3 linked regions of the Tamandua tetradactyla genome follow. The protein of the gene in region 2 binds, or shares a complex with, the protein of the main gene of each other region. Links are inferred from orthologs where the notes say so. Each region holds a gene or a part of one and is shown on either strand. Other genes may lie near its edges.

Region 1 (7,766 bases), on a different chromosome or scaffold from region 2:
CGTCCACTCCACCAACCGGGAAGCTGTGGTAGGGTCCCTTCCCGCAAGCTCCAGGAGTCGCCACGCTTGCTTGTCATCTGTCTAGGGTTGAGGTGACCTCTGTGCCAGGGTCGCACTGAGGGCAGAGGCCAAGCACGGCCAGCATGGGTGAGGCTGCACTACCTGCCGTCCTGCCCTCCCCACTGCACAGAGGCACAGAGAGGAGAAGTGGCGAAGCCAGGATTCAAACCTGGTGGTTGACTTCAGAGCCCCCCAGTGATGAAATATCCTTGGACCTCTGCTTCTTCGCTGGTAGAATGTTTTCTCAAGTGGACACTCACTCGACATACCTCATCCCTCCCCCTCTCTCCATGTATAATAAACGGCTAGGTGTTAAGGGGTAGGCCAGGGTTACTCCCCAAGGAGGGGCAGGTGTATGCAAACAATTTGTAAAGAATTATTCCTGTTGTGAGGGTGCTCACCTAAATCAATCTTTTCACCAACAGGAAGAGTTTGGGAACCACGGCACAGCCCTACAGCAGACTCTGCTGATGCTACTCCCCTGCCCCACAACCTCCAACAGCAACATCCCCAGAAAGGATGGACACGAAATGATGACTGAGGCGGAGGGAGGGATATTTATTCCTTTATAAGTGCATGTGCGCTGATTTTAAAGGAATTAAATACACACACATTATATAATCAGCACAGCAAACCTGGGGCTTCTGGGGTGTAGAGTGACTCTATGTTTTTAGTTTCTAAAACAGATGACTGACCACACACACACACACAAGATGAAGTAAACATAAAGACTAACAAACTGAGTGCTTACTACGTGCCAGGCACTCCCCCTGCTATCTCATTCACTCCCCCTCCCCAACAACCGTTTACAGGGTCACAATTTGGGGGATCAACTGTTAAGCGCCTTGCTCGAGGTCAAGCTGGGAATTTGTAGGGTGAATGTGAACCCAGGAAGTCTGAGTCCAGATTGAGCCCTCCTCACCACTACCCCACACTAATCACCAGCCCAAGATGCCCACACACCCTCAATTCCAGAGGGACCACAGTTTGGCAAACACCGGCCTGGAAACTTAAAACACTGAAACCAGCAACTAGCACTCACTGCTTACATCCCGGTCCCAGCACCATGCCAAGCCTGGGCTGCCACTGGGAACCAGGAAGGCGTGGCTCCTTCCAACAGTGCTTGGAGTGGGATGGATGTGTAATTACAAATCGGGGTGACTGCTACACGGGGAAGCAACATGGGCAGCAGACAGGTGCAACGACCCAGACCAGGCAGTCAGGGAAGGTGCCCCTAAAGCTGCATCCCTGCCAGTCAAAACCCAGCCCTGAGCATCTTCCCTGAGTATGTGTGAATGTCATCTCTTCCATGCAGCCTCCCTAAACCCTGGTTCTCCCCTCTCCCCCAGATTCTAGATAGGCTGTTAAATGATTAAACGATAAGCCAAAGTGATTTGTTCCCATACCACCCACATCTATTTAAAGGTCGGCTTCCTCTACAAGACTGGTCTTGAAAGCACCCAACCCCAAACCATCTGGCACCCAGCAGGGACTCAACCAATACTTGCTACACCATGAAAGAGGGGCATCCAACCCCAAACCATGTGGTACCCAGTAGGGACTCAACCACTATTTGCTGAACCATGAAAGAGGGGATTGAACCAGACAAATGACAATAAACAGTGCTTTCCACCCGCCACGAACCATTTTACAGGCTTCCACAACTCCATTTGTAATATTATCCCTATTTCACTAGGGAGAAGACCAGAGACTCAGAGAGATCAAGCTACTTGCCTAAGGTCACACAGCCAGGCGACTGTCAGCGCCAGGAATCACACTCAGTGGAATCCAGTCTGACAATTTACATTGAAAACTTGTTTCAAACGCTTGGGAAGTGGCTCTTGCCACTTTCTACTTTCCCGCAGGATCCACCCTCTAAACAAAAAAAAAAAAAAAGAAAAATCAAGACGGACACCAAAATACTCCCGGAAAGGTTCACGATTTAAAAAGAGCCTAAACGTTGAAAATAAATTGGGAGGGAGGGGGGAAAAAAAGGGTGCCAAACAAAACAATGCTTTCAACAGCAAACATTTCCCTCCGAGCTGCCAGGCACTTGCCGCCGCCACCCCAACTCCCCCACTTCGGGGCAAACGTTTTCAAGTCGCTACCTCCGCGGGACTGGGGGAGTCATTGACCTTTCCTGGAACACCTAGAATGCCGTGATTTTTAAATACATTTTTAGGCCGGCTTTGGGACTACACAGGGGGCTACTGATGCTCGCGTCCCGGCGGCAGCGGGCACACCTGGGTTCTTCCCGGATCGCACTGGGGTCCGACAGGTTAGAACGTAGCCAGAAAAGTCCCGACGCCTGGCTATTGTTGCAGCCGCGAAGACGGGGGATTGGACCCCGGGACGGTAGCGGGAGGCGAGCTTTGTCCAGCGACCCCGGCGGGCGCGCGCACGGGGGGGGTGGACGCGCAGTCTCCACGCGGCCCGGAGTCCCCCGCGCCCGCCCGCGGATGCTGCTGCAGCCACCGCGGCCTCGCTCCGCTATGGCCGGGCCCGCGCGCGCGGCTGCGGGCCAGGGCTTCTTGGCCCTCGGGCGCCGCCGTACTCCGGCCCCGCTCCAGGCGCCAGCGGCCCCCTCCCCCCGCGGCGCCCCGGCTCCATTCAAACCGTCTTCCCCCGCCCCGCGCGGCGCCGCTCCCCGCACCCCGCGTTCCTTACCGGGAGCCGCCGGCGGCGTCGCCTTCCCGGCACCGCCCCCGCCCCTCCGCGCGGGGCCGGGGGCAGAGTGGGCGTCTCGCCTCTCTTCACCAAACAAAGAGGCCGCCGCCGGCGCCGTCACCGAGCAAGGGGAAGCCTCGCGCGCGCGCCCGTCCGCCTCGGCCGCCCCCCCTCCACACACGCCTTCCGCGGTCCCGCTGCGCGCTCACGCGCCGACTCCCCTCCTCCCACCACGGGCGGTCGCTTGAGCTTCCGCCGCCCGCGCCAGCCTCGTGCGCGCGCCCCCGCCCTTCCGCTCCCCGTGCGCGTGCGCGCCCGCGCGAGAGCCGCGGTTGGTGGGCGGGGCCCATGGGTAGCACGCGCAGGGGACGCACCGCCCCTCTCGGGCCGGGCTGGCTCTGCGCCTGCGCCCAAGCAGTCTTCCTCCTCCGCACGCCGCGCGTCCCGACGCCGCCGAGCATGCGCGGAGCGGCCGCCACGGAGGCGGGGGCGGCGGGCGATTGGGGGATGGGATGGGTTGGGATGGGGGCGGCGGCGTGTGGTCCGCGGCGGCCGTCGGGTCTGGGGGTTCAGACGTGGAGACCCGAGGTGGGCCGGGAGGGCGGGACGCAGGCAGGCCGGGGCTGAGAACCGTCTTCATCCCTGGCCCGCGCGGCGAGGCTGGGCAGGCCCTGACCGTGGCCGTCTCCTCTGGGGCCATTCATTAGCTCGGCCAGTATTCATGGGCTGCACCGGGCCCTGCCCTGCGGCCCGGGACGGACAGAGGTCCAGCCGTCGTGGCGCTGACGGTCTAGCAGGGGAGAGACATAAGCCAAATCAAGGAGAATCTATAGCCTGTTCGGAAGACTCACGGAGGGTCGAGGGCTTGGGATGGGGGTGGCCTCGCGGCGAAGACCTTTGAGTAAAGTTAGGAAATCAGGGAGGGAGAGAGCCTGCTCCGAGCGAAGGGTCTGCAAGTAAGGCCCGTCTGTGTTTGTAAAATAGTAGCTCCAGAGCTGCCTCGTTTGGTCTCCCGAGCAGGACAAGCGCCCCCCAAGGTCACGCCCCATAGCCTGTACCGACCCTCCCCTGCTTCCCTCAGGCCGGGACTGGCTTATTTTCCTGGTCTCCGCTGGCTTTGACCCCCTCACGCCTTTCCTCGGTGTGAATCAGGGCCTCCTCTTCCCTTCCTAGCTATTTCTTGGACGCCGCTATATCGCCTGACTCTCTCGTTTAAACCCGTTTGAGTCAACATGTAGTAGTGGCGCACCCCTTCGCCTCACGACAGATACTTAAGAAAATTGTATCGAAACATAGTAGACACAGGCTGCCTGATGAGTTAGAGGACCGCACCTGCATCAGCTCCTGGGCTCTTTCCAAGGCCAAAGTGGCTGGTTTGCAGTGTAGAGCAGCAGGTGACATCTCATGCTGGAGTCAGATGATCTAGGTTTAAAACCTGCCTCCTTAACACAAATTGTGAATGTGGTTAATGCCCCTGAATACGTCCGCTTGGGAGTGGTTGAGATGGGACAGTTTACCTTGTATATGTTTCCAGGATTTAAAAAGAGAAAGAGACAATGACAATTAATTGCAAAACATGAGTATGCACTGGAAACTAATATGAACAGAAGAGAAAAATACTCAAAAGGACGTTACTGGGGCAACTGAAAAAAATTCCGACGTGGGCTATAAACTTAACATCAGCGTTAAATTTCTTGAACGTGATGACTGTACTTAAGGTGATGACATAAGTGAGAGTTCTTGGGAAATATACTTGAAAGTGTTAAGTTTTGGAGTGTGATATATGCAACAGTACTCTCAAATATTTAAAGACGGAATGCGGGAGACCCACATTCAATTCCCGATCCATGCACTTTCCAAAAAACAAACAAGCAAAACAAAAAATTCAACAAATGGTGCTACAATAACGGGATACTCATATGCATGAAATGTGACCCCACCATGCAGCATACAAAACAAAAAAAGGTAGAACAAATGTGGCAAGATGCTAAAAGTAAATCTGGGAACCTGAATGGGGGGTTCATTAGAGTTCTATGCATTGTTTTTTAATTATCCTTGCAACTTTCCTGTAAGCTATTTCACAATAAAAATTTAAAAAAACAAAACCCACCTGCATGTTGTTAGCTGGTGAAGTCAGGCAGGTTTCCTGAAGCGGTATACACCTGGGTTTCTTCCCCCTGGTAGAAGGAGAAGTGGCACCCACTCCAAAGGTTGGTGATGGGGAATCTGGGAGAGCAGGCCCCTATAGCTCTCCCTACCTTAGCTAGTGTTGTTAAGAGTAATGCACAGTAAATGTGTAACCAAGAAATGAGAATTTAAGGAATGAGTATGGTTATCAAATCATTACATGGATACTGCTTTTTGGTATATTGGAGTAGATAGAGGGAAATACCTGAAATCTTTAAACTGTAATCCAGCTGCCTTGATTGCTGGTAATGATTGTTTAACCTTTATGTTGTGCCTCTGTGGTTGTAAAAACCTTGTGACTCACCTCACTTGTACCCATTTATCCAATTTCTCAACTTTAGAGTCTTGCGATTATTAAAGACATCACCTAATGTTTATTAATGAAGGGTCCTGGGTCAGCCCAGAACTAACCCACCGCAAGTCCAGAGTTTTCCTGAAAACTGAGACTGGATCTAACCCCCTAGGCCCACCTGACATGCACAGTACCTTAGACTTTAACTTATGTCACCTGTACCTCATTATAATACTAATAAATCACACCCATTGGGCAGTGCAACAGTGGCTCAGTGGCAGAATTCTCAGCTGCCATGCCAGAGAACCCGGGTTTGATTCCCAGAGCCTGCCCATGCCAAAATAAAAAACAAAAAAACAACAAAAAAACCCCACACCCATCATCATATTAAGACTGCCATTTTCTTACATACGTTCTGTGACTAAGCATGTAATGGATCTGCGCATGCTTAATAATTAGATCACCTCTTATTATATCAGCTGGGATCATTGTGCTCATTATCCTAAAACCTGCCCATCTTTTAACATTGTAAAATGATCAGAATGAGTGCAGTTCGGGGTAACAGGTTTTTGGGCCAATGGGCCATCTGATCTCTTGCTTCGTGCCTAGCAATAAATTTTTTCTTTCTGAAACCCCAGTATCTCAGGAATTGTCATTTGAGTGCTTTGGGCAAAGGAATCCACTGCCTTTGTACGGTAACAAACGAGAGGAAATCGAGGCTTCTGCGGTTGCTGGACTGTTTTCAGTCTAGAGGCTAAGCAATCAGGTTTTTCTGTTCTGCAGGCACTACAGACCCTTTTGGTACCTTACAAAGCTTCAGAGAAAGAAACCATTTACAGATCCATGTCCGGACATCTGACTGTTTGAGTGGGTCATCAGGATAAAAGTGGATTGGGTTTTGAGAGACTGTTTTATACATATATATATAACCTATATTTAGAGATAAGAATGACATCAAACAGGTTGGGGCTAAAGTAATTCAGAACATAGGGGTAAGGAAGACAGTGTCTGTATTTTAGAACCACACATACTCTTTGAAACCAATGGAAGGAAGATTTATTTGGTCTAGAACTGAAATTTTTGGTAGTGCATAATCTAATTCAACCTATCTGCATAGCTCATTTGAACAACTGAAACACAGGAAGCACAGAATAAGAAAGCGGTCTTTTATCCTGTATAGATTACTGTAATGCCTGGAAACATCCTAGAGTATATTAAAGAGATAATCAAAAAGCATTGGCAAAGTCCCCTGAGGGAGGGGAAAAATACCATGGAACTATTAAACCTTACCATCAGGGAATCTCCTGATACTGTGTCAAACTTTAGGGACACCCAAATCAATAGGCCATGCCCTTGATCATGAGGCTTACTCTTGTGAAGCTTATGTAGGTAGCAGAGAAGCTTAGACTACCCATAGGCATGCCTCAGAGTTACTTCTGGAGGACCTCTGTTGTTGCTCGGATGTGGCCTCACTCTCTCTAAGCCCAACTCTGCAAGTGAAATCATTGCCCTCCCCACTACATGGGACATGATATCCAGGGGTGAAAGTCTTCCTGGTGACGTGGGAGATGACTCCCAGGGATGAATCCAAACCTGGCACCGTGGGATCAACAATTCCATCCTGACCAAAAGGGGGGGAAGAAGTGTAACTAATAAAGTGGCAGTGGCAGAGAGAGTTCAGATAGAGTTGAGAGGCTACTCTGGAGGTTGCTCTTATGCAAGCTTCAGGTAGACCTTGCTACCTGTCATAACCTGCCAACCCCCAACCAGGACCATTCCAGTCAATCCTAAAGAATACCTAGGGCAATATATAAGATTCCACAAGGGTTCTAGGCAGTAAAGTAACTTTCCAGAAACCTACAACCTCCAGATGCGTCCCTGGTCCAGATAAATCCTGAAACCTAGCCCAGCCGCTCCAGAACATCAGACAGTTCCATCTCCCTACCCCATATTAGTGAAAAACCCTTCCTATATAAAAAATTTAGAATTGCAATAGCCCAGACAATCCCAAAGAGAGGGGTGGAAAGATCAAAGGTGATGGTGGAATTATACATAGAAGATAGAACTTAACAAATAAATATGAATGCTGAATCATTAAATTGATATCTCTTTTAGTCTCATATTTTATTTATTTATTTATTTTAAACTTTTTTATTAATTAAAAAAATTAACAAACAAAACATTAAGATATTCCATTCTACATATACAATCAGTAATTCTTAATATCATCACATAGTTGCAATTCACCATTTCTTAGACCATTTGCATCGATTTAGAAAAAGAAATATCCAGATAAATTTGCTTATTGGTTTTTCTATTTCTGAAAAGTAAGTTGTTGGGATTTTATTGGAATTGCATTGAATCTGTAAATCAATTTAGGTAGAATTGACATCTTAACTATATTTAGTCTTCCAATCCATGAACACGGTATACCCTTCCATCTATTTAGGTCTTCTGTGATTTCTTTTAACAGTTTCTTGTAGTTTTCTTTGTATAGGTCTTTTGTCTCTTTAGTTAAATTTATTCTGAAGTATTTTATTCTTTTAGTTGCAATTGTAAA
Region 2 (7,289 bases):
AATCCTCATTGTTCTGTACAGCAATGTAACTAAGGGAGGTGGGGACCACTGGGTAGATAACAGTGATCCCCAAAAAGCTTGGAGTGGGCAAAACTGAGTTCAAAGTGCTCCCTTTGTTGACTGTATCAAGGCAGCTGGAATTGTCAGACATCGGGACACTGGGTCACCCTGTCCAAGCTCACAAGAAACCTAGAGGGAGGATAAGATGCCAGTTTGTTCATTTATCACAGTGGGGGTGGGGTGGGGACCTCTTTGCAGGTCCAGCCTCCAGAAAGTCCAATCTCTGAGGCCCTGAATAGCCAAGACAATCTTGAAAAAGAACAAAGTTAGAGGACTCACACATTTCCTCATTTCAAAACTTACTACAAAGTTATGGTAATTAAAACAGTGTGGTACTGGCATAAGAATAGATTTATAGACCAATGGAATAGAATCAAGAGTTCAGAGTTAAATCCACACATTTATGGCCAGTTGATTTTTGACAAGGGTGCCAAGTCCATTCAATGGGGCAAAGAACAGGCCCTTCATTGAGCAGTGATGGGACAGCTGGAAATGCTCATGCAAAAGAATGAATATGGACCCCTATCTCTCACCATTTATAAAAATTAATTCAAAATGGATCAAAGACCTAAATATAAGAATACTATACAATACACAGAGGAAAACATAGGGAAATATCTTCAGGACCTTGTAGTAGGCAATAGATTTTTAGATTTTTAACCAAAAGCACAAGCAACAACAAAAATAGATAAAATGGGACTTCATCAAAATTAAAAAAACTTTTGTGCATCAAAGGGCATTAGCAAGAAAGTGAAAAGACAATCTATGGGATGGGAGAAAATACTTGGAAACCACATACCTGATAAGGGATTAATATTCAGAATATATAAAAACAGCTACAACTCAACAACAAAGCGATAACCCAATTAAAAAATGGGCCAAGGATTTGAACAGACATTTCTCCAAATATGACATTGAAATGGCCAAAAAGATTATGAAAAGATACTCAATATCATTAGTCAATAGAGAAATGCCAATTAAAAACTGTAACGCATTAAGTAGATATCACCTTGTTGTTCAAGATGTAGTGGAGAGGCTGGAGGGAACTGCCTGTAAATGTTGAGCTGTGTTCCAGTAGCCATGTTTCTTGATGATGATTGAACAATGATATAGCTTTCACAATGAGACTCTGTGAATGTGAAAACCTTGTGTCTGATGCTCCTTTTATCTACCATATCAACAGACGAGTAGAACATATAGAATAAAAATAAATAATAGGGGGAACAAATGTTAAAATAAATTTAGTTTGAAATGCTAGTGATAAATGAAAGGGAGGGGTAAGGGGTATGGTATGTATAATCTTTTTTTTCTGTTATCGTTTTATTTCTTTTTCTGTTGTCTTTTTATTTCTTTTTCTAAAAAACTAACACACAAAAACTATAATTATAGCCACTAGTATGGCTATAATTTTAAAAAATGAAGGAATTAAAAAAACAAATGCTGGCAAGGATGCAGAGAAAGAGAAACCCTGTACATTATTGGTGGCAATGTAAAGTGGTGCAGCCACTGTGGAAAAGAGTTTGGCAGTGTGCTGGTTTGAAAGGAAGTATACCCCCTAGGAAAGCCATGTTTTAATCAAAATATCATTTCATAAAGGTAGAATAATTTCTATTCAAAGTATGTTTGAAACTGTAATCAGATCATCTCCCTGGATGATGTGATTTAGTCAAGAGTGGTTGTTAAACTGGATTAAGGGACATGTCTCCACCCATTTGGGTGGGTCTTGATTGGTTTATTGGAGTCCTATAAAAGAGGAAACATTTTGGAGAATGAGAGATTCGGAGAGAGCAGAACAATGTAGTCATGAGGTGCAGAGAGTCCACGAGCCAGCAACCTCTGGAGATGAAGAAGGAAAACGCCTCCCGGGGAACTTCATGAAACCAGAAGCCAGGAGAGAAAACTAGCAGATGACGACGCCATGTTCACCATGTGCCCTTCCAGCTGAGAGAGAAGCCCTGACTGTATTCGCCATGTGCCTTCTCACTTGAGAAACTCTGAACTTCATCAGCCTTCTTGAACCAAGGTATCTTTCCCTTGGTTCCCTTGGCCTTTGATTGGACATATCTATAGACCTGTTTTAATTGGGACATTTTCTTGGCTTTGGAACTGTAACCTAGCAACTCATTAAATTCCCCCTTTGGAAAAGCCATTCCGTTTCTGGTATATTGCATTCCAACAGCTAGCAAACTAGAATAGGCAGTTTCTCAGAAAATTAAACATAGAAGTATCACATGACCCTATAATTCCACTCTAGGTGTGTACCCCAAAGAATTGAATGCAGGGGCTTGAACAGATCATTGTACACCCAAAGTTCCCTGAAGCACTGTTCATAGCAACCCAAGTGTCCATCAACATATGAATGAATAAACAAAATGTGGTCTATCCATACAACGGAATATTATTCAACCGTAAAAAGAAGTGAAGTGCTGGGACATGCTACATCATGTATGAATCTTGAAGACATTGTGTGGAGTGAAATAAGTCAGACACAAAAGGATAAATATTATATGCTTTCTCCTTATGAAATATTAGAAGCAAGTTATAGAGACAGAGAGCAGAATAGTGGTTACCAGGGTGGTGGAAGAGGGGAATGGGGAGTTATTGTGAAACAAATATGAATTTTGGTTTAGGATGATGGAAATATTGTCTGGAAATAGATAATGGTGAAAGCAGTATTTGCATCGTACTTATGTCAAAGAACTGTCCACTTAAAATGGTTAAAATGAGTTTTATGTTAATGTATATATATTTTACAATTAAAAATAAACAAATAAAAATCAAAACAGTGTGGCAAGTACTTGGATAGACGCTCAGGTCATAAGAAGTGTAGGGCCTTCACCAAAGCCAGGGTGCCTGCTTGCTCTAAGCTAGGCTTAATTTGTGTTTTTATCATGTGCAATTAACTCAAAACTTAAGCAAAGATTTTGCCTATTGCAGTTTTTGTTTTGTTTTACGTCTGCTCTCCTAGCAAAATGAAGTAGCACACCGATTTTGGTCCTCAGATTTTCAACAATCCCCAACTTCAGACTTCAGACTTTTTTGGTGGGGAATGAGGCATAGAAGATTTTGCTCACAAACAGGGAACTTCTTCCACGGCGGTAGGGGTGTGCTGACTCCTTTTACTTTTCCTAGGGCAGACGATTAATTGATGCTAAAAACAATCCCAACACTCCAGCTGAAGCTCCTCTTGTGTGGCAACATTAAACAAGAAAGGGGCATGTTCCAGAACAGGGCAACTTCTAGGAAATCAGCAGGTATTGCAAGCTCTATTTATTGCAATGGGCAAACTGTATCTATTCGGGAAGCTGAAGATTTTGGTGGGTGTGAGGATAGGGGTTAGAGGATGGGGCAGGAGGTGGAGCGAGGTCTTGGAGGTACTGGAGTTAAGGTGATCACTTTCTGGCTTTGTCCCTCTGACATGGTAACCATCCATGACCAGGCCCACTCCCATGGATGGAACATGTAGGTGAGGCACGACGGCACGCCCACGTCCTGATACCCAGCTTTGGGGCTCAAGGCAGGAAAACTCACGAACCTTTAAGAAGTTTGTATTTTGAGTGCCCTTGCCTGGGCATCAAGTTGTTCTGCCTCACTGCCCCCAGGGCCTCCACGTAGTTTTGGCCTGGCCGGAAGCTTTGACTCCTCCGGGTTTTGCCCTCCGTGGAGCGCAGCGGGAGGCCTCGGCATCTGCCCGCGGGCAGAAGGCGGGCCAGAGTCGGCCACCTCCGGGCAGAACTCCGGGGCTTTCCTAGACATGCGAAGTCTCGGGTGGTCTCCAGCCTAAGCCTTCCCAAAGACCCTCCTCTCCCTCTGGCGGTCGAAGGAGGAGCCCAGGGTCACAGAAAGGAAGCCCGGGGGTAAAACCCCAGCCTTGCCCGCCACGCTTCCCGACCTGGGCCCGACCGCCGCCTGCACAGGGAGCCCCTCAGGTGCCTCCCGCCCAGCAGCAGCCCCCGAGCCTCCCTCTCTTCCCCCGGCACGGGTCCTGCGGAGAGACTAAGGGGCGGGAGCTGCCCAGGGAAACTCGGCAGTTGCCTCGGGGGGCAGCCGAGTCGGCAACCCCACCCTCTGCAAACAGGGCTTTAAAGACCAGGGCGGGCCCACCCGTGCCCACCCTGGCCGTGGATGCCCCTCCCCACTCCCGCCCAGGCCGCACCCACTTAGGGGCGGGGGCGGCGGGACCTAGTTCCCAGTCGGCGGGTGCTGCTGCTTTAAGCGGGGGCGGGACTGCGCGCGGCGGAGCGGCGACGGCGGCGGCCCGGCTGGCTTAGCTGGGGGTCGCGGGCCCGGGGCTGCAGGAGGCCGGCGGCCGAGGTCGAGGTGAGGGCGAGCGCCCTCAGCGGGGACGGATAATCGGCCCCAGGAAGTGCGCGCGGCGGCTTCACGGGGCCGGCCCAGGAGTGGGGAGGTTTCCGCGGCACGGCAGCTCCGGGAAGGGATAGAAGGAGGCTCCGACCGCCCCGGGCTCCCCCGGCCTTCCCTCGGAGCCCGGTCCGGACGGCGGGGCATAGCGGCAGCCTTGAAACCTCCGCTCGCTGCCGGGCCCAGATGGGGCGAAGCGGATGCGGAGGGCTAGCGGGCGCGGAAATTGGCCCTCTGCGCTCGCCGTAGCACGGCCTGGGAGGCGGTCGCCGAGTGTCGGGGTGGAGTGGCGGCGGGGAGACGGTGACAAAAGGAGGGAACCGGAGGGCCGTTTGGGACCGGAGGAAGCGGGCGAGGGACAAGGGCCCCCTCCCCCGACGGCGCCCCCTCTCCGGGCCAGCCTGGCGCTCCCCCCCAACCCGGCCTCCACGCAGGTACCTGACTCTCCGGATCCGGTGTGGAGAGCGAAGGTAGCGGCTACCACAGCGCCCCCTCTGGCCCGGCGGCGCCGCCTCAGGCTCGGCGCGGCCGGGCGGGCTTTGGGGGTCTGCAGGGTGCGGGCGACGGGTTACCCGGGCGCGACGCCGCCCCCTGGCTTCTGACCTGGGCCTGGCGCGGGGGCTGGGCGGAACCGAGGCCCGGCCCCTCGGACTCCGGAGTCCTGGAGCTGCTCTGGGAGAGAGTTGGCATGGGCGGTCTCCTCTCCTCAGACTCCTGGGGCCCAGCGGAAGGCGGGACCTCGCGTCGCGGCACCCCGAGGAGTGGAAGACTTGACGCCTCTGAACTCTGCGGGCCGGCGAGGACTTGAAAACGGGCTCCGAGGCTTGGACGAGTTTGGGCAGGCCTGGGCAGGAGCAGGGGGTTTCTTAGGCAGGAAGAGGCCTTGACTCTGAGGTTTGGGACTCTCGTTGTGGAGATGCCGGTGGGGGAGGGGGATGTCTTAGGTAATTGGAGGAGAGATTGTGACTTGAAAGAGGCAAGCAATTGCCAGGACCCTCAGCAGGGCTGACAGAATCCTGGTCTTAGTTTCGTTAGTGACTCTTCTTGTCCTGAGATAGTGGACAAATGCTAGGACAGCTACCGGCGGTCCTCTTTTGTCTGAGAAATGACCAGAAGGGACTCTTTGGTTTGAACTGCAGGGGAGCATGTCCTCCTGCAGACACATTATTGTTCTGTCTGTTGAAGAAAGACGAAAGCTAAGCTGTGAAACCACCTCTTAATGCAAAGTAAAATCAGGCATTTATATATGCAGGGAGGATGGGTGAAAGAACAATTTCACCAGGTTCTCTAGACATTTTGGCCACAGCTCTTAAAATAAAAAACAAATCTCATTCATTCAGGTGTGTCCACCTGGGAGCAGCGATTTTCAAAGTGGTGTCAACAGTCTGTTTTCTATTCATTTTTTTGAAGCATTTTTTATTCATTCATTCGAAGAGTTCGGTTTTTTTTTTCAATTGAGTGCCTAATCTGTGACAGCTGCAAACAAAAATTTACAGCTTCCTGTACCCTTCACTGGGGCACACAGCCTCTCTGGGTGGTGCTTGGGAATCCACCTTTGTCACCTGTTGGTTTTAATGCACACTGAAGTTTGAGAACCAGATTGCCTAGGATAGGGGTTGGCAAACTCGTCAGCAGGCCAACTCCAGCCCGATCTCTGTTTTTATACTCTTGTTTTCATACTGTCCTTGAACTAAGGAATGGCTTTTACGATATTAAATGGCTAAGAAAAAAATCCAAAGCATAATGATGTTTCAGGATACATGAAAATTATGAAATTCAAATTTAGCATGTATAAATAAAGTCTTACTGGAACATAGTCGCACATTTGTTTACATGCTGTTGTCTGTAGCTGCTTTCTGGCTATAACAGCAGAGCTGAGTTGTTGCAACAGAAACTTCATGGCTGCAAAGCCTAAGATATTTTCTATCTGGTTCTTTACAAAAACAGTTTGCTAACCTCTGGCTTAGGGTAAGAAAGACGAGGGTAGGGGAGAAAAAACAAATGTGTTTAAACATTATGTTTAGATACATTTAGTAGACAAAATGGATCTAGATAAATTTTATTTAAAAAAAACAGAGGAAATAGTGTCATATCCTTGATTAACACAAAAATAATTTAGATGAGCATAGGCATTTAGATCAGCTTTTCACAGATTCTGAACCTGTGCCTTGATAAGTTGGCTAACTAAATGCTTCTTTTCATAGGCTGGTATGAACTCATGGACCTAAAACCATTCTCTTAAGAAACAGACTAGCACAAAAGAAAAATGGCGTTTGTTGCAACACAAGGGGCCACGGTGGTTGACCAAACCACTCTGATGAAAAAATATCTTCAGTTTGTGGCAGCTCTCACTGATGTAAATACACGTGAGTTGATGCTTTTCGTCACGTAGGAAATGCATTTATTCGTCCTCAGTTCAAATGATGTGCACACTGAAATAAATAATATCCTAATTTACACTTTCTTTAGGTCTTGTGGAGAAGCAAAGTGATGAGCTTAACTGGCTGGAGCCCCAAAGAGGCACGTGTGTTTGTGCGTGCATGTGTGTGTATGTATTTGTATGCTCATCTGGGCATGTGTCTGGTGTACGAGTGTATGTGACTGACTGTAGGCAACTAGTTATGTGCCTTCTGTTGGGCTGTGATGGTCAAACTGATAAGATCTGATTGTTTCTCTTAAATTATAAAACTTAAGTAATTTTAGGAACATCCTTAACTTAATTTCAGTTACTAATGATTTGTTTTGACATTTACAGCTGATGAAACGAAGTTAAAGATGATGCAAGAAGTTAGTGAAAATTTTGAGGTACATACTTTATATTTTTTATTTTCTGTTATAAATATCCACATATATGTACTTTCCTTTTG
Region 3 (7,732 bases), on a different chromosome or scaffold from region 2:
CACTCTTCTGATCTTTGCAGCGCTCTGAGCCAGCCAAATCACAGAGTGATAGCCTAGAATGATGGACAGGATCTGATTTAAGGACTCCACATGTTATGAGTCTTCTAGTCCTCTATAGTTCTAAAGAGGGGAGAGCCTACCAAGAATGTCTGTGCCCAAGGGAGGAGAACATAGGATCTAACACAAGTAATTCCTCTGAGGACCTCCCACATATTACCATTTAGGATCTAGAAACCCAAATTTCTAGACAAACTTACTCGCTGATCTTGGGGACTATATCCCCTTCCCCCTGAAGGTGTAGGATCCGGATTGAGAAGATGCTGTGACTAAAAGTTAAGGGAAAAAAATGTCATTGTATACCTTCCATGACTGGGCAGAGGACTTGTGTTTACTGGAATACAGTAAAGGTTGACTTTTACCTGCGACTGGAGTTCTGGTTCAGGTGGGTGCTGGCAAAGCTCTGGTTCTTACGACCCACTTTCAGGAGTTTCCACGCCTCCTCAGCATCCTGAACATGAATCCAATTGAGGTCTTTAGGCCAAAGGAGAGAAGGGCATAAGATGGGTACACTCAATCAACTCTTTTCCTAGTTTCTCCCCCAAACCCCCTCCAGTGTTCATGACATTTCCTACGTCTTCCCATACCTTTCACATAGGGATTGCCATTCTGATCTTCGCACAGCCGCAGAGTCTGCCTCTTGCGCTGCTGGCTAGGTGGTTCTAACAGGTCATAGATCATCTCATTGTAGATTTCAAAGAAGGAGATCCAGATGGAGAAGCGAATGTGTGCTGGGACACTTACTGGGGCTGTGTCTGGTTGTGCCCATCGGTCACTTGTTTCTGGGGAAGGAGCAATGTACAGGGCATTAATTCTAGAGCAGTCCATCTCCCTTTTGGCCTGCAGGGGCCTTGGAAGGCAGAACTCAGGTTGTAACCTATGGTCTGAACCCTGGCAACTGTTGGGGCAGAGACTAAGTTTCTACTGTTACTTGGCAAAGAGACCAATTATGGTACATACCATCTAGCTGGCTACTGCTGGTAAACTGACTGGTAGAGGAGAGCCCAGCAATGCCACTGTCAAAGCTGGTGCTGGTACCCATCTGCAGACTTTCAATATAAACGCTTCGCTTCAGGGAAGTGGACAGCTCCTCCTGGAGGGGCCCAGAGAAGAGATAAGTCCAAAATTTTCCAAAGATATGTACCCTCACCCTTGCCTCCATGAACACTAACACCTCACCTCTTGTAAGCCTCCATTTAGCAGGGCCAGCTTCTTCATTTCTTCCTGCCTGATCTGCTTGCTATCTAGCCATATTACTTCATTGGAAAGCAAGGGTTTCAGATCAGGTATTGGATGAAATTGTCCTTGGAGGCTATTGAAGATCAGAGCCAGGGACCGGGGCAGGATCCCACCATCCTTGATGGTACCTGGAAGTATATGAGAGATGGACAACTGAGGCAGCTACCTTTCTCCCCCCAACTCAGAACATTAAAAGGCAAAGATAACATCCTCATAGGCCAGCTAGCAACCCTTTTAGGCTTTTCTACTTACCTTGAATTGTGTGGGTTTTCCCTGAGTTGGTGACTCCATATGTGTAGATGAGCCAGTTCTGCCCTTTGAGTACATCCTTTACCATCTCCTTCACAGTTAGGTTGAAGAAGGATGCCTGTCCCACTTCTGGTCCAAAGATCTAGAGACAAAGCCAATTTGTCAGTGGTATGTCCACCCTTCATCACCCATTCTCCCCCTGTGCAGATTTATTCCTCCATTCTTGGGTGATTGGCTCTGGAGACAACTTCAAACAGCCTCTTCCTACAGTGCTACAAGCTTGCCCCTAAATACTAACGATCCAACCACTTCTCTGCTAGTCCATCCTTCATCCAAATCAACAAATTCTTCTGGAATGCTACACACTCAATGAGGCAGAATAATGGTTCACAATGAACTTTAGGGATGGATGGCTCTGGATCCAAGTCCTACTGTACCATATATGTTACTTCATTGAGCCACAGTATCCTTGCGGGGAAAATAGGATTAACAACAATAATAATCACAACAATAGAGTCGTGAATTAATGCACATAAAGTACTTCAGACAGTACTAGCACATAACAGTACCCCTCCCCAAACTGTAGATGTGTACATGTGTGTATTTATATGCGTGTATATATATAGGTACATATACAAACTCATGCATGGCTATATACACATGAACATACAGAGAGTCACACACACAACTTAAGATCTCACAGTCAAGTAAAGAAGTGTTCTTTCTAGAGAGGAAATGAAATTGTCCCTAGATGCTGGTTCTTTGTTCACAGCCCAGAACCTTCATACCTGGGAAAAGGTGAACCTGTGGGTGGCTTGGCCAATTCCTCGCTCATTGCTTTTCAAGGCAAAAGAGTCCTTAGGTGCTTGTAGAACAAGAGTCTCTCCATTCTCAATGCGGACACAGCTCTGTGGGTGGGGAAAACAGTTGTCACAAAAGGAAGCATTCCTGGGAACTACTTCTATATTACATCATTCCATCTTGAGTCCTTCCTCCTCAGATACTCACCTGATCTTCCTGTCGTTCCAATTCTGAAGGTAACAAGGGCCTGATCCTCAGGTATACTTTCACTTTCTCGGTACTATCCTCAGATGGAACCTGTGGCAGAATTTCAACCCAAAAAAACAGATTAATCATCTGAGCAGATAGGCAAACATAGCACCGTTCTTAGGAATCATGCTAGTGATTCTACCCCCTTCTACCCCAAATGTCTCTGCAGGTACTCTTTGCTTTCACAATCATCCCAACTCATATGGACTTTTTCACTACTCTGTCACTCTTCCCTATCTCATCAGTATCCTGCCACTGTTCATTGCCATACTGATTATCTCAGAATTAGTTGACTGGTATGAAAGTCAGAATGTGATATTAGGGCAAAGCACAGTAGTTAAGCACTATAAAGGCAGACACACCTGAATTTGAGTCCTAATCCCATCATTTAATAACTATGAGACCTTAAACAGATTCTTTAAATTCTCTCTGCCTCAGTTTTTTTCATCTGTAGAATGAGGTTAATAATAGCACCCACCTCATTCATTCTACAGATATTTAGTGCCTATCATGGCTCAGGAATTTAAGAGGCTCTAGTAGTTCATAGTGAGGGTTATCATCAAAGCTCCTGCCCTTTATGAGAAAGAAGACTTTTGAAGACAAGATGTGACAATGTAGATTCAGTGTTTAACATAGGGCCTGTCTAGTACAGTGGTTCTCTAGCAGGGCAAACGTTCCCCCTACCCCTCCCCAAGCTCCCAGGGACATTTAGCAATGTCTGACTTTTTTGGGTCACCAGTTGGTTAGTACTACTGGCATCCAGGGGGTTGAGGCCTGGAAAGCTGCTAAACATCTTATAATTTCCGAGACAGTCCCCCACAATAAAGAATTATCCAGCCCCCGATGTCAATAATGCTGCAGCTGAGAAATCATGGCCTAACAAAAAGAAAGTCTCAATAATCGTAATGATGGTTGATATTATTAAAACCTGAGTGTACATTTCACCTACTTAATGGCAGTATGACCTTTTGCAAATTATTTAACAGGACTGGGAGGGACATGATGGTATTTTATTAATGCAATGCTAATACTAATTCTTCTTATTGAAACCCAACTCTACATTTTTGACTGGTCATTACCCTTCACTTTGAACCGATCTCTCAGAATCTCAGTTTTGCTTGCCTTTGACCTAACACCCTGTATAGACAACTAGTAGGGTGGAGATATCACTTTCTTACCCCAAGCCACGCCCCAACTCTGTTACCTGTTGCTTGTTCTCCAGGGAAGTGGAGATGACAGAGCAGTCTGACAGTAGGTCTTTGCGTATCACAGACCCTAAATCTGCAGCTGTAGACTCAAACATAGGGGAAACTGCGAGTTCCTCATCCGACAATAAGCCGGCTGGTGGAGAAAGGATCCCTTGTGACATGTCGGCAGGGACAGCTTTGGTCTGAAAAGAGACAAGAGTGGGTAGGGAGGAAAACTTTAAGGACAGAAGGGGTTGCAAATTCTAGGTAAGAAGCAATCCCCTTACCCTTGGAAACCTGGTTTGCCTGCCTGAATTCCTATTCCCTTTTCCCTCCAAATACGGGGAAGGGGTTGAGAGGAGGAGTTAATCTTTGAAACCTTTCTGGAGAGGCATTTCCGACCTTGAATAGGAAAGAAAAGAGATACACCTCCAAAACTAGAAGGCCAGTAGGGTACCTCGCCTTTCCGTACTATGGGGCACGGGCAGAGTCAAAGGTCAGGATCCCCAGGCTCCTTTTCCAACCTCTTCCCAAGTCCACCACGAGGGCAAAGGTATTAAGAAAAAAAGAGATGGTGGCGGTGCCCCCTTCTGAAAGCCCGTTCTGCGAAATCAAGAGCTGATAACCCGGGCTCCAGTCGAGCTGCACACTTACCTGAAGCCGCGACACTCGTTCCCGCTCCGGAACCGACTCACTCATTCAGCTGCGGATCCTGGACCTTAGCGGTCCGCAGCACAACTCCGCCCACGAGGCGCAGCTTTGTTACTGATACATTGTTTTAAATTACGCGCTCCGTTCACTCGGCCAATCAGACAAAAGAGCCTGCAGCTACCAATCAGCGCAAAGAAGGGAGGCGGGCGAAATAGGGGACTTCTGCTTCTATTTGACCTCTCCACTCTCACGTGGGTCCGGGTTACCAACTGTCGGAAATTTGGAATCGAGTCACTTCGGATTCGTCCGGCTTAACCCTTTAGCGTAACCCCTAGACATTTCATTTCCTAAGAAGCCTGAGGCTTCAGTTGCCATCCCCTGTCCTTCCTTAGCAACGCTACTTTAACTTGCGTACTCCGTTGGGGGAGGTGGGGGGGGGTCGGAAAAACAAACAAACAAACAAACCTACATTTCCCAGGAGTCATCGCGAACAAACTCCCGTACTCGATTTCCCAGAGTTCTCCGGGATCCGGTCCTACCTGACTCACACTCTTCCGGGATAGTAGACTTCGGGGCCAAGATGGCGGCAGGAACGGGCAGTGAGTGTCTGCGCTACTTTTGAGCGGAAGGCCATTGTAGAGCCGAGGCTAGGCACCAGATTTCAGTCTAACATTTAGGGAGTGGTTGGGGTGGTTTGGCTGAGAGCCCAGGGTGTCCAGAGACCTGCGCTTGACGGCGTAGTAAAGGCCAACGGTTGGGGGCCCGAAGTATAGGGTCCTGTGTCTCAGGGAGGGAGCGGAGGCGTAAGGGAAGTATTTAGCGAATCCCTGTATGTAGGGAGCTCCGCGGAGGAAGGCATAAAGGCGCTCTAGAAACTTGGGCGTGCAGACGCAGATTCGGCCATCATACGGAGGGGCTGGTGTCTCAAACATCAGTTCAGTTTCTAGCGAATGTGTTTGTGAGGCAGTGGAAATGGGGTCTTTTAATCGTGAGCTTTTTCTGCCACCGGGAAAATTGAGTTTCGTACATCTCAATTATTTTCCTTATGTTTAATAGGTAGAGAAGGCCTTTTAGGCCCGACAGTTGGGGGCGGGGTAATGAGACTAGTAAACAGTTTTATGCTAAGAAGGAGGCGGGGCAGCAGGCGGAGCTAGCCGCTCGGAATCCTGGGAAATAAACCTGTATTTTTAAATTAGAGAAAGTATTCTTAAAATTGGGGCTTTCGAGAAAACTTTTTCGGCTTAATACGTCATTTCCTATCTTTTATTAAAGCGGAGCTTGAAGCCTTGGGTTTTGAGGAAATCAAATGTTCTCCCATATACCACACACCGTGCAATTCTCATGCAAAGAATAAGTACCCCCCACCCGCACCCCGCACCGTGATACACAGCTATTTCGCTTTAACGGCGAAAATCCAGATTTGGTGCTATAAGAGCCTACTTTGTGCTAACAAGTTGGGTGTTTTGTATTAGGCTTTTAGTTCTCTGGTGCTTAAAACTCGTGTCTCTGGTTATCTGTATACTCTTTCTCTACTTTCAGAACACAAACTGTTGAGTTCTGGCCCCACAGAGCCATGGTCCATCCGGGAAAAGCTGTGTTTGGCATCTTCTGTAATGAGAAGTGGAGATCAGAATTGGTACGTTATCCATGATGTCTGTCTTGGGTCTTAGAACTGCTGGGTATTTTTTCCTGCTGTTGGATATAGTTAATGAATTATATTTAATTAATCTATATATTAATCTTTAAGCATCTTTTTTTTTAAACAGAGTTATTGAGATGTAAATCACCATAAATAATACAACTCATTGGTTTTAAGTATATTCATAGAGTTGTGCAACCATCACCATAATCTAATCTTGGAATATTTTCATTACCCCAGAGAGAAGCACTTAACAGTCAAGCTACATAACTTCCTCCACCCCACTCCCATCCCTAGGCAACAGCTAGTCTACTTTCCGTCTCTCTTGATCTGCCTGTTCTGGACATGTTGGTTTTCTGTGACTGGCTTATTTCACATAGGATAATGTTTTCAAATTTCATTTATAATATAGCATGTATCAGTACTTCATTCCTTTATGTGGCTGAAAAGTATATTCCATGTATAGATAGCCACATTTTGTATGCTCATAAGTTGGTAGAAATTTGGATTGTTCCCACCTTTTAGCTATTATGAATGATGTTGCCATCAATCTTTCTTGTTTTTGTGTGAACTTGTGCTTTAAATTCTTTTGGGTATATTAGGAGTGAAATTCCTGGGTCATATGGTAACTCTGTATTTAAGTTTGAAAGAACTGCCAAACTGTTTTCCAAAGCAACCACAGTTTTACATTCCCACTAGCATGAATGAGTATTCCACTTTTACCACATCTTCACCAAGACTTATTTTTGTCCTTTTGTTTTTAACTATCCTAGTGGGTGTGAAATGGTATCTCATTTGGTTTCGATTTGCATTTCCCTGATGATTAATGGTATTGAGCATTTTTTCATTTGCTTAGTGGCCATTTGTACATCTTCTTTGGAGAAATACCTATTCCGATCCTCTGCCCTTTTTTGGGGGGTGTGGGGGTGTGCAAGGTCTGGGAATCGAACCTGGGTCCCCTGAATGGAAGGCAAGCATTTTACTACTTAAGCACTTGTGTACTCTGCTTTGCCCATTTCTTAGTTATTTATCTTTTTATTTTTGAGTTGTAAGAGTTCTTTATATATTTCAGATACAAATCTCTTATCACATAGATGATTTGCAAATGTACCAGCAATGAATGAATATTCTGATTTCACCATATCCTCCCCTTCTTACTCTAGAGTAGTCTCCATTAAGTTTGATATGTCCTTTCATAAATTTTTCTATGTGTGGTTTGTGGACATGTTTAAATTTTTTTTTGAATAAGAATAGGAACATCATATATACATAGTTTTTAGCTTGATATTTCATTTAAGACAGTATGTGGGTATTTTTCTGTCAATACACTAGATATGATCTTATTCTTTTTAAAAACTCAGTAGTATTCCATTGGATATACCATAATTTGTTTTACATTTGTCTTCTACGGGCATTTAGGGGTACAGTTTTCTCTTTGTATCAGTATTTCTATAGGATAAGTTCCTAGAAGTGACATCGCTAGATCTGAGATATGCACATTTTCAATTTTAAGAATCTTGTAAGATACTAGACTTCTCAAAATTTTTCTGTTTAAAATAAATTGTATTTATTTCCTTGTGTGTTTTCTCATTTTATGAAAGGTACGTATAACTGCTAGTCAGATAGTTATTTCAATAGATGAGAAAACCAGTATGAGCAT

What was found.
Region 1: TRRAP (region 2) and SMARCA4 share a complex: the UniProt entries of both Homo sapiens proteins name them as parts of the BAF53 complex. The link is inferred for Tamandua tetradactyla from reciprocal best matches to the Homo sapiens genes TRRAP and SMARCA4.
Region 3: TRRAP (region 2) and BRD8 share a complex: the UniProt entries of both Homo sapiens proteins name them as parts of the SWR1-like complex. The link is inferred for Tamandua tetradactyla from reciprocal best matches to the Homo sapiens genes TRRAP and BRD8.

Annotation. Positions count from the first base shown.
Region 1 is NC_135337.1:90,868,774-90,876,539, forward strand, and holds the start of SMARCA4 (SWI/SNF-related matrix-associated actin-dependent regulator of chromatin subfamily A member 4), read right to left. Parts: upstream 3,019-7,766; 5' UTR 2,911-3,018; intron 2,845-2,910; exon of another isoform or gene 2,728-2,844; intron 2,429-2,727; exon of another isoform or gene 2,304-2,428; intron 1-2,303. UniProt on the Homo sapiens protein: ATPase involved in transcriptional activation and repression of select genes by chromatin remodeling (alteration of DNA-nucleosome topology).
Region 2 is NC_135349.1:6,908,337-6,915,625, forward strand, and holds the start of TRRAP (transformation/transcription domain-associated protein), read left to right. Parts: upstream 1-4,281; 5' UTR 4,282-4,380; intron 4,381-4,669; exon of another isoform or gene 4,670-4,892; intron 4,893-5,031; exon of another isoform or gene 5,032-5,316; intron 5,317-5,349; exon of another isoform or gene 5,350-6,626; 5' UTR 6,627-6,688; coding exon 6,689-6,788; intron 6,789-6,898; exon of another isoform or gene 6,899-7,095; intron 7,096-7,177; coding exon 7,178-7,227; intron 7,228-7,289. UniProt on the Homo sapiens protein: Adapter protein, which is found in various multiprotein chromatin complexes with histone acetyltransferase activity (HAT), which gives a specific tag for epigenetic transcription activation.
Region 3 is NC_135346.1:17,856,234-17,863,965, reverse strand, and holds the start of BRD8 (bromodomain-containing protein 8), read left to right. Parts: upstream 1-4,714; 5' UTR 4,715-5,013; coding exon 5,014-5,032; intron 5,033-5,972; coding exon 5,973-6,069; intron 6,070-7,732. Other genes in the region: kinesin-like protein KIF20A, read right to left, coding at 1-53, 258-326, 420-531, 645-839, 1,018-1,150, 1,237-1,424, 1,549-1,687, 2,334-2,453 and 3 more. UniProt on the Homo sapiens protein: May act as a coactivator during transcriptional activation by hormone-activated nuclear receptors (NR). Isoform 2 stimulates transcriptional activation by AR/DHTR, ESR1/NR3A1, RXRA/NR2B1 and THRB/ERBA2.